3 linked regions of the Drosophila melanogaster genome follow. The protein of the gene in region 1 interacts with the protein of each later gene in a pairwise test. Each region holds a gene or a part of one and is shown on either strand. Other genes may lie near its edges. The genes, in order: Rbpn-5, CG15468 and CG31244.

Region 1 (3,834 bases):
TCGCCGAAGCTCAAGCCCGACTTTGTGATATCGAGGAAGCCCTCGTAGCCCTTGGTCATAAAGTTGCCGTATCCGAAGGGATTGGCCATTGGTGGCCAGTAGGGTCCCTGTGTTCCATTGCCCGTGAAGTTCGTTTGGGCCGTATAGGGTGGCTGGGCACTGGGTGGCATCGATGCCTGGCTCATTGCCGATCCGCTGGTCAGATTGTGGATGTTGATCCTGGGCGGTCGATTTGCCCGCCGTGAAGGCGGCGGTGTGCTGGGAATGGGTGTTATGCTCTGGGTTTGCGACATGGTCGGTTTTTTTTTTGGTATATCCGGGAATCTATATGGATTCGCTTTGCAATTTTCTAATTGATATCCGTAGGAACTCAAAACATTGGGCACTTTATGGTCATTATTCAAGTTCCGTTCACATACATATATCGCGGCGGTTGTACTTATATATTTGTATTATTTTTAAGTTTATAAGTAGAAATGCCGTCGCGATTCCAAGGCGCCGCGTATTTATTTCTTCGCGTACTTTTTTTTCCCGCTTCCGACCGCCTCGTTCCTGAATCCAATGCGAACTGAACAGACGCCAAATATTTTGGCCAACATCGCTGCTGTTGTCGCTGGGCATAATGCTGTAGTATTTGTATCGGCCACGAATCTCCGGCTGCCGACTATGACGACATCGAAAGTCATGAGCTCACAAGCCTGCCAACAAGTCCAAGACCTAGAAGACCCAACGGATCTCAGCGTACACTGACGAAAAAAATGGTCTATGTAATGCCTAATGCTATGATTTAATTAATATTATTGGCTATAAGGTGGTTAACAAATGTTTAAAGTTAACATTAGTTACAGCGTACAATTATTTTTTACCTATCGACTAAAATGTTTTCCAATTTCTGGTAGTGTACAGCCATGATAATTTTATAATTAGTCAAGTTTTCGGCTTCCTCAGCCGATGCCGAAATTCTGAAATCGAGTTTTGTTCTGGTTAACGCGTAGTTTTGTTATCTCAAATAGTTTGCTATATTGTTATATTTAAATATGTTTTCTCATTAGCTAGGCATTATTGAAGTATTCATTTTCCTCTCATAATTTATCAGCTCTTAGCGTTTTCTCGCGTTTCTGGCGCTTAATAATTTGCATAAAATTAAAAGAACTGACGGTATTAGTCATTCATGATCGGCAGTCATTTACCTTTTCATAGAATTGTGTCTAATATATTCTGCCGTTGTCATTTGGCTTACACACAAATGTTGAAACACTTTCTAGGAAATGCTTAAGAAAATCCTAAATAATTAAGAACGATTAAGATGCAATTATAAACATTATACAAATTTAAATTATATGGTATTGTTTATTTATATTCCTTACCCATTTGTTTTCTTTTTCTATTTATAGTTCCTGATGGCTGATGATAACAAAAAATTCGAGGAATATCTAGATTTAGATTTTAGACTAAGATATAAAAGGACAAAGGAGTGATTTTAAAGGATTCCGACTTTTAACTTAATAAAACGGGTTCTTAAAAAGGACACATTAAAAGGACATAAAATAAGAATACATTTGCAAATTGGCGAAGGGAAATTATTAAAACTATTTTACCAAGTATCTGTAAGTAAATATTTTAAACTTTCTATACTTCTATAGAAAACTTAATCCCAAAAGATGTTTATCAAGCTCAATAAAGTTAGATTTTGAAAACCTTTTTTAACGGCACTGCCAAGCAATACTAAAGTATTAACTATCGGTATTATTCAAATATGGTAACACCAAGAGCAGTGTTGAAAATCGCTCAAATGTATATGTTCTAATTGGTGCGCTCACATATGTACATATAAACTAATAAATTGGCCATCACACAATATAGAAAATGGAAGAAAACGAGACCCGGTCAGAGGCCAGGGAACCCACGGACCTGCCCAATGGTAAGGCAGCACCACAGGAAGCCTGAACAGCCGATAACTAACCCATAACTCCAACGGCAGGTGAGGATGACGCGACCAGCCAGCACAAACTCAGTCACCTGCAGAACGAGATGCGCAAAATGCAGAACGAGTTCAACACGCAGCGGGCGAAGATGCGGGAGCTGTACATCCAGAAGGAGGCGGAGGTCAGCCAGAGCCAGCAGGAGCGACGGCAGCTGCAGGCGGAGCTGGACGAGCTGAAGACACACCTAATGGTGGCGGACCTTAAGTCGCAGAACGAGCTGCAGCTGAGGGACCTCAAGGCGCAGGAGGAGATCTCCTCGCTGCAGCAGCTGGTGCAGGACACTATCGAGGAGACCGCGCACTACAAAGGCGAGGTGGAACGGCTCAGGCTGGAGCTGGGCAAGTACCAGCAGATTCAACAGCAGACGATGGCTCAACAACCGCAGGCCGAGTCATCTGGCGGTATAGCGCCGCAGGTGCTCAATCAGGTCAAGAAGACACTAGGCTCTGTGCGTAAACTGGGCACCGACTCCCTGAACAGCAGCTTTCAGCAGGACGAGGACACCCGGGCATCGAGCAAGGGCAATGGCAAGCAATACGTATGTTTTCGGGACTAATCTTTCAACTATCAAATTAACTGAGCTTATATTGCAGGCTCCTGAGGAGGCGGAGATGATGCACTCAATTGTCGAGCAGCTTCAGGAGGAGATGAAGGCACTAAAAGTGAAGCTGCGCGAACAGGACGAGCAACTGCAGGCCAAGTCGGCGTCCGATGAATCCGCCCTGCACAAGTCCACGTCCATGGACGTCGCCGAGAGCGCCTGCGAGTCGTGCAGCTTGGCAGAAAAGAAGACCGAAGAGCTGGGTGCCCATATAAACAAACAGCAGAAACAGGTGGATCTGCTGCAAAAGCAGCTGGTGGAATCCCGGGAGACACTGGTTAAGGAGGCGGCATTGCGCAAGGATCTGGAGGACCAGTGGCAAGAAAAGCGGGAGGCCCACAAAAGCGAAGTACAAAGCCTGCGTGACCAGGCCAAAACCAACGAGCAGCGACTGCTGGACATGCAGCAAAAGTTTCTCGAGACCAAGGACGAGGTTATTAAGCAGATCCAGCGCGTCTCCGACGACCGAGAGCGGGTCAACAAGCAACTGGAGACGTTGCAGGCGGACAACGACTTTCTGTCCGGTCGCTATCTGGCCACGTCCGAGGAGATCGACAACCAATATATCAATCTGCCCAACACGGTCGTCGAGCTCCAGGAGCTGATACTGCGACAGCAAAGCGAGCTAATCCAAGCACGCGTCAGCAGCGAATACGAGCGACAGAAGTGCACCAGCACTGAAGATGAGATTCAGATCTTGCGGGCCCAGCTGGAGGAGAGCAACAATGAAAGGCGGGCCTACAAGCGCAAAATGCAACTAGATATTAAGTCACTGCAGTAAGTTACAACCTCTTGTCTATGGTGGTGTTCACTTTGGCCCACGTTTTAAATGAATTTTCAGGGATCGGGTGACGGAACACTTGGTCACGGTACAAGCGTACGAGACTACCAAAACCCAACTGGAGCGCAAAGAGGCTGAGCTGAACAAGCAGCTCTCCGAGTGTCGCGTGGAGATCATTGAGCTGCAAGAGGCCAATGTAAGCTATCATATTTTGTTGTCACACTTGATTCTTCGCTAACCAGATCACATTACAGGAAAAGTACGCCAAAACAAATGCAGACTACAAGACGAAGATAAAAACACTACAGGAGGAACTCTCCACCATGGAGACTGTTCAAAAGGACTTTGTCAAACTATCTCAAACGCTTCAGGTGAGTGAGATATAAAAATATATGGTTTATTCACTTAATTAATTACATTGTGTTGTGCCACAGATGTCGCTGGAGGAGCTGCGGCATGCCGACACG
Region 2 (3,834 bases), on another chromosome or scaffold:
AAATCTGCGAATGAAAAACTCTTTCTACAGGATATCACCATGTCGATCCAGTCGGTGTTTGGCATTATTTTTTATGCGCTGGCTTCTCCACTTAGTTCCAGATGCGGAAATAAATGCACTTGAATTCCTCAACTTGTTACATAAATCGTAATTTTCTATAGACTTGTTCTATATCTAATGTATATTGCATTATTCGCTACTCGTTTTCTCCCAGTTGTTTCTCTTTCTGTTTTTTTTTTTTTGTTGCTTTTCATTATTATTATTATTACTATTATTTTTATTTTATGATCGCTTATCTTCTTCGGAGTCTTCTGCTGGTGCTGCTGATTTTCGCTACCGAAGCTGCGGAGCTGCGAAGATTTGACCGCGCCAGGTTGAGAGTCAAGTCAACTTGGGGCAACTCAAGTCGGAATATATGAATGTCTGAATGTCTGGATGTCTGGGGGGGGGTTTACTCCGTTCCCCTTGTTCGTATACCCATTCTCGCGCACTTGAACTTCCTGCATGACCAAGGCCTCCGGGAGATCAGCAGATCATGTGAACTTTTATGGCCATCATCGGTCATTACTCGTCTTGGTTGCAATTAGGCATCTTAGCGGTATAGTTCTCGACGCCGCCAGTCCTCTTAATTCATTCGTTTTTTTTGTTTTTTTTGTTTTGCACCCATGAAATGCAAATAAAATAAAGCACATTATTAGTATTAGTAAGTTGTGGGAATTATTTTGGACTCATCTCAGTCTCATTTCTTGCAGGAATTATTTTGGACTCATCTCAGTCGCATTTCTTGCAGGAATTATTTTGGACTCATCTCAGTCTCATTTCTTGCAGCTATGTGCAGCTAGTTCAGTGCATATTTCATGTTATTTAAATGCCTGCCCAGGCTCCATCAAATATTTGTTTAACCTGACCCCATTCTTGGGCCTTCGTATCCATCCTATCGCGCAGCTCACATGCCTAAACGTTTCTTAGAGACCTGCGAAATTCCACATGTGACAATTCAGCATTCAGCAGATGCCACGATGGTGAGATGGCTCCAAATGGAATAGCAAAGTTGACTAAAAGCCTGTCAATCGCTGATGTTGCGTGGAAAAAGAAAAAACACTGAACGCAATATTCGGATATTTCTCTGACATACAAAAATAACTCAGCAATTGTTCGTTTATATAATAATGCAAGATTATATAGAGCCTGGCCTATAAATTTTGAATCATATCTCTAATTTCTGAAGAAGATTTGCTACTTCAATTTTGTTCACTGCCTCGAATGGTTTTTGGGCTGATGTCCTATGCAGTAGAGGCCCGAATCTCTGGCAAGCAATTAGCAAGGCAGGGCCCAGAAGAAAGATCACCGCAAGACCACGGTCGGGGGCACCAATTGCAATTGAAGAAAAGGGGCAGCATGGAATAGGAGCCCAGAAGGAAAAGCGGCGAACAGGGGTGACTGAGTGGAAGACAGACGACAGAAGCGGGATTTATCAGAGACAGAAGACTGAGCTTTGTGAGATGGAGATGGAGAAAAGCAATTCTGCGGCTGACGGTTTTCGCAGAAAATTACAACTTGCGGGTAAACAAAGTCAACTGCCGGCAGTTGATGGTGGCTCAATGGTAATGGTGGCTAGCGTGGTAAGAAAGGAGGCGAGGGCTGACTAGAAGAATTGCCGCTGAAGCCACACGCCAAAAGCCAGCCCACAAGCCTCTGGCCCACAGCTCTCTGCTTTTCTTTTGTTTTTTCCTACTCATCGTTGTTTCTTTTTGTTTTTTTTTCTTTCGTTTTCTACTGCCGGACTCCATGTGGAGTGGAGTGGATGTTTCTGCGGATTTGGATGTGGGTGCGCAATTATGCCGCCAGAGCAACTGAGCAGCCATAAATTTTCTTATCAGCGCCGGGCCAAAAAGACAGGAGCGGTTTGGAGTGGTTTTTAAAATCACTAAGGAATCACTAAGAGTTTGAAAAACCCAATTTAAGTGGGCTATGCTTTTTTTACCTTAACGCTCACATATTGCACACACACCCAGACTTAAATCTACACTTTGTTAAAAAAAAAAATTAATAAAAACAAAATGGATAAGGTGAAGATGATACCTACCAATGATGGCGAACCAAGGGATTATCCGCTCGACGAGGATTTTCATCTGCTGCGCGATCTGGGCGACTGTCACAAGGCGAATCTGGCGGACATCGATATCATAGCGCGAACGACCACCAAATGTCAGTTGGGAGGAGAGCAGATGATTTCGCCAGGCTATCAGAGGTTAGGCCCTTCCTTGGATCGAGTACCAGATGATGAGGAAACCGACTCACAGGAGGAGGAGATGGAAATACTGCCATGCGGAATGGGCGAGGAGGGCATAACCACCGATGAGGAGACAAAAACCCTGATTACCATTCAGGGTCTGGACGAGATATTGAAAAGAATCGATATATTGCGTAGTCAACTCCGCAGGAATCAGCAATTGGAGGATATTAGCCAACCATCGGTAATGCCAGAGGATCCGATCTCCTGCAGTGGCCTGAATGCGAAGCAATCGGAGATACGGTGCATTCAACGTGCCCAGCATCACATTCAGTGCCAACTAACCGAACTCCTGTGCCGCTACGATGCCCTCCGGAATATGTTGCGCAGTTTGGGCGAAACGTGGACGTGTCTAGAGCGACGAATTGCCGATATTCGGGGACAGAACCGCGTCCACTTGGCCTGGACTGAGGAGTGCGCCAACGATCTAAGCAACTGCCAGCAGAGACATCGCTCCTTGGCCGCCGTCAAGCTTACCAAAAAGATGGCCCTGCTCGTGACCAAAACGAATATGTCCAGTGGCTTTCGCTATAGCCGTCGATATCTACGACATGCCCTGATCGCTCGACATATCAACGACTTTCGCTACGAGATCGCCGAGTTGAAGGTTTTAAGCGAGGAAATTTTCTCCGAAATCGATGGGCGACTGGACCAGATCAAGATGAAGGCTCAACGATTCGGAGTCGTATTCTCGACCACGCCGCGTCAATCCAATCTAATCGCCGATGGAACTGGCAACACTGAGCTAACCGAGCTAACTGATGCCACCGAAACGTTCACCGTTCCAAGGAGCAATAATCCAAAATAACAATTTCAAGGGCACATAGAGAAAGCACATTATCATTAGGAAATAAAATAGGAAAATCATTAAGTTATAATAAGAGCAAAGAAAAATAAATACAAAAATGTAAAATGCAAACCGAATACGCGGGCAAAAGTGCGCTCCTGTGCTGGGATAAAAAAAAAAAGAAAAAAATAGTGCTAGTGGGAGGCAGCAGGCTGGCGGAGTGGAAAATGGGAAAGCGAAAGAGACGAAGTATGAAGAATGAAGAAAAGAAAAACAAAATGAGCCACCAGCACATGGGTAGTACATCATTTCGGACTTTATCAGCAAAACAGGCAGCCGAGCAGCGCGCGCGTGGGCAGCTCCAGAGTGGAATTCCGATGCCGCCAACGCTTCCCCGGCAGCAACAAAGCAGCAGCAGCAGCAGCAGCAGTCGCAGCAGCAGCAACAACAGCAGCAACAACTGCAATTGCAACTTAATTGAGGCTTGTCTATGCAGTCGTAGCCAAAAGTAACTGCGGTTGCTACTCGCTCTATCTTTTCGCTGTTGTATACAGATACACGCGTGTGTGTGTGTGTGTGTGTTAGCCATCTCATGTCGCCCATTGCGAACTTGATGCCTCGCTGCCCCAGTGCCTTGATGCTCCACAGACGACCAGACAGCAGCAACAACGGCAACATATACACATACCATACAAACATAAATACCCACTATATAATAGCGTACTGAGGGCGTTGAGGCAGCAACATGCCATCC
Region 3 (3,303 bases), on another chromosome or scaffold:
ACCCGTCACCACCCCTTGCTCAAGATTCACCATCGATTGCCGCAGTGCATGAACAAGTAGTTTAGCAAATGAATACAAGAGCCACACAGGGTTTTTCCGCCACCGAGATCGGGACAATGGCAAAGGAATTTCTCTCTCTATACTGACGTGTAAAATATTGTCCCAAACCTGTCTATAAATCATCAAATGAATGGGGAACAATTACTATAATGTAGAGAACTAAGAGCTAAGCCTGCATATGAAAAAATATAAAACATTTTGGAAGAAGTCATAGTACTATATTTAAAATTTATTTGACTTTCCAAATTAGTCACCGCTTATATATTCGACGTTTGAGTACCTACTCAAAGCAGTCCCAATTATAATTACGCTCTCATATGTGAAAACATATGGCTATTTTTCGTACTTGAATAGAGTACTGATCAAAACACACTTTAAAAAAAAATAGAGAAAACATTCTTTACAATAAACTATACAAATAGTTTATACGATAAAGTTCTAGAGGGTCATTAAGAGTTTTGTATTACGGATAATTTAAACTTTTGATAATTTAAAATTACTTGTGATTTTTGCCGAACTGACTTGAACTACTGGACACGCACATTGTCATAGATCTTTACGACATCTATGTCTTGAAGAAGGTTTTTACGAAACTCCTGATAGCGGGCCATTTGACGATCATTTAACTCGACGAGCGGCTTGTTTGGACAGTGTCCAACCTCCTTATGTACAATCTTGTAGTTGCACTGCCTGAGTTTGTACGCGACCTCTTGCAGGTCCAGAGGCCGACATTTGAACAAAACAGATCCTTTGGCCAAATCGGTAATGGTACTATCGGTGGCTTTGCACCACAAAGCATCAATTCGCAACGTTTGATTGAATTCCTCAAAGCTTAATGGTGTTACGCTCGGCAATGTGGCCTCAATCAAGCCAGTTTCGTTGAATAAATGTCGATTGAAGAAGCGCGCTTTGTTTTGCCGCAGTAAGGAGGCCAAGCGAAGTTTCAGTTCGGGGAGATTATCCGTCCTGATCTTGCAAACCATGGCAACCAATTGCCGCCCATAGTCCATGGGTATACTATAGGTGTGATGATTCCTCTCGCTCAACTCGCACTCCTTCAGAATTCGCTGCACTCGACTGTACGGCAATTGCAAGGGCGACAGTCGAGCCCTCAGCTCGTAGTTCTTGTCGGGATCTATGGAACCTCCCCCACGATGCACCGCTAATCGAAGCTCGTTAGCCAGTATTAACTCATCTGTCGTATCATGATCAAACTGCGCCTTTTTGGAGCTTAGTGGAACGCTGGTAAAGCCGGTCTTACTCGGGCTCCTTTCCCCATACATCGGAGCCCATCGTACTCGCTTTACGCTCGGTATCTCTGGATTATCCAGAAGCTCCAAGTCCAGCCCATTACGCTTATCGTTCTCTAATTTCGGGGAATCACTACGGATTAGGTTCGGCTTTGGTCTGTAGGGAGTAACGCTGGACTTGAGCTGAGGAAGTTTCGTAGTCTTGGTCCTGTCCATGGGTTCTAAACAGCTGTTGTTATGCATTTGAAATGAACTTGAAATTTGGACTACTTAAAGTTATTGTTGAAAATGAATGGATTTGACTAATACAATAGAAATTTCGGAGAGCGTATGAGTGAAAAGTTTTTAAAAGGCACTAATATAAATTCACAATGTGATTTCAAGAAAAAATTAAACGAAATCGAAACAAGGGACAAACTTTTTTGAAAGGCACGGTAAAAAAAATTGATATTGTACATCAATATACATAAATGAAAAAGTAAGTATAATATGAACTCACCGTATCGGCGGCTGTTAAATTAATTCCCAGTCCTCCGGCTCTCGTAGACAGTAAGAACACGAAGATATCTGCTCTCGTTTGAAAATCGGCAACCATATCGCGACGAGCGGATATCTTGCTTGAGCCATCCAGGCGCATATAGCGATGCTTGCGGTGCCACATGTACTCCTAGACATTTTATCAAAAAATTAAACTGAACAGTGATCGTTTCAAGTTTAATAAACTTACCTCGAGCAGGTCTATCATCTTGGTCATCTGCGAGTATATGAGTACTCGATGTCCATTCGCCTTCAATCGAGTTAGCAAGTTGTCAAGAACAAAAAGCTTACCAGCATCGGTAATCAGGGTTTCCTTGTCGGGCACCACAATCGAGGACCATCCACCATGAGGCTTGCACAAGGCCAATCCACTGGAGACAAGCTCCCTGCCCTGGCTATTCTCACACTGATTGTGGCGAATCTGGGACCACGCTGCAGATCGACTATCGCAGCTAAAATTGATATAAAAAAAGTTAAAAACCTGGATCGGTTTCGATGAATCCATTTGAAACTTACTATAAATATCTATGCACAGCTTGAACTTTTTGTCCCAAATCGTAAAGTATTCGTGGCATGGAAAGCGGTTCGCATACGTATTTTCTTGGCTTTCGTGGGCGATGCGGAAACTCTGGTAGCAGCAGCAGCGTCGTCACCTTAACATCGCTTTTGGCATTCGACTTTGTTTGCACCTCCACAGACTCGATTTCCAGCTTTTGCTTGGACACATCCTCCATCTCCTCGATTAGCGACGTTTTCTTCTTCAGAATCTTTGACCGAATTACACGGTGTTCGATAGTTTCCTGCATATTGTACGTAAAGTAATCGCCAAATGCGTAAACGCTGCTTTCGTTGGCGGTCTTTAAGCATAAATCATTGTATAAATTGTTCGAATAAAAATTTATAAATATAAATAATTATACCATTGCTGTGAATATGAAGTTCTTAAGGACACTGTTTGGTGGCATATAGTCGAGAGCTAGTTTGTTTTCCAACATCGGCTCCAGCAGTTGATATCTACTGTCCGGCTGCTTTTTCCACCAAAAGCGACGGTAGGCCAGCAGTGGGTATTTCTCCAAAACTCTTCGATAATGCAAAAGACTGTAGAAAAACAAACGTAAGTATTGTAAGTATTTAACCATTTGTTATTATCAAACAAAGGAGCACGACATTTGCGAATTTTGCTATTATAAACATGTTACTTACAGGTAAAGGGTATAGGAATACTCACAAATCTATCAGTCCATTTAAAGTTACTTCTACCATATCTCCCACAGATAAATCGCAAAGCCGGGTAAATCCGAAGCAACTATTCACGTTCACATCCTCAAAGAGAGACCTCTGTATGTATTCCGATTTGAAGATATTGAACCTGCAAATGGGCAGTCAAGGATTAAAAATTCAAATATGATAAAATGTTCAAAACCTATCCACTTACCGGTTATAGAGCAAGTGCTTT

What was found.
Region 2: the proteins of Rbpn-5 (region 1) and CG15468 interact in a two-hybrid assay, tested with the Drosophila melanogaster proteins (one large-scale study listed by BioGRID).
Region 3: the proteins of Rbpn-5 (region 1) and CG31244 interact in a two-hybrid assay, tested with the Drosophila melanogaster proteins (one large-scale study listed by BioGRID).

The regions. Positions count from the first base shown.
Region 1 is NT_033778.4:21,088,959-21,092,792, reverse strand, and holds the start of Rbpn-5 (Rabaptin-5), read left to right. Parts: upstream 1-1,788; 5' UTR 1,789-1,866; coding exon 1,867-1,921; intron 1,922-1,981; coding exon 1,982-2,523; intron 2,524-2,578; coding exon 2,579-3,363; intron 3,364-3,427; coding exon 3,428-3,563; intron 3,564-3,621; coding exon 3,622-3,738; intron 3,739-3,801; coding exon 3,802-3,834.
Region 2 is NC_004354.4:4,959,304-4,963,137, reverse strand, and holds CG15468 (uncharacterized protein), read left to right. Parts: upstream 1-2,009; 5' UTR 2,010-2,060; coding exon 2,061-3,101; 3' UTR 3,102-3,209; downstream 3,210-3,834.
Region 3 is NT_033777.3:19,396,930-19,400,232, forward strand, and holds CG31244 (uncharacterized protein), read right to left. Parts: upstream 1,639-3,303; 5' UTR 1,554-1,638; coding exon 588-1,553; 3' UTR 501-587; downstream 1-500. Other genes in the region: INO80 complex subunit, read right to left, coding at 1,810-1,977, 2,038-2,299, 2,364-2,704, 2,768-2,945, 3,076-3,216, 3,283-3,303.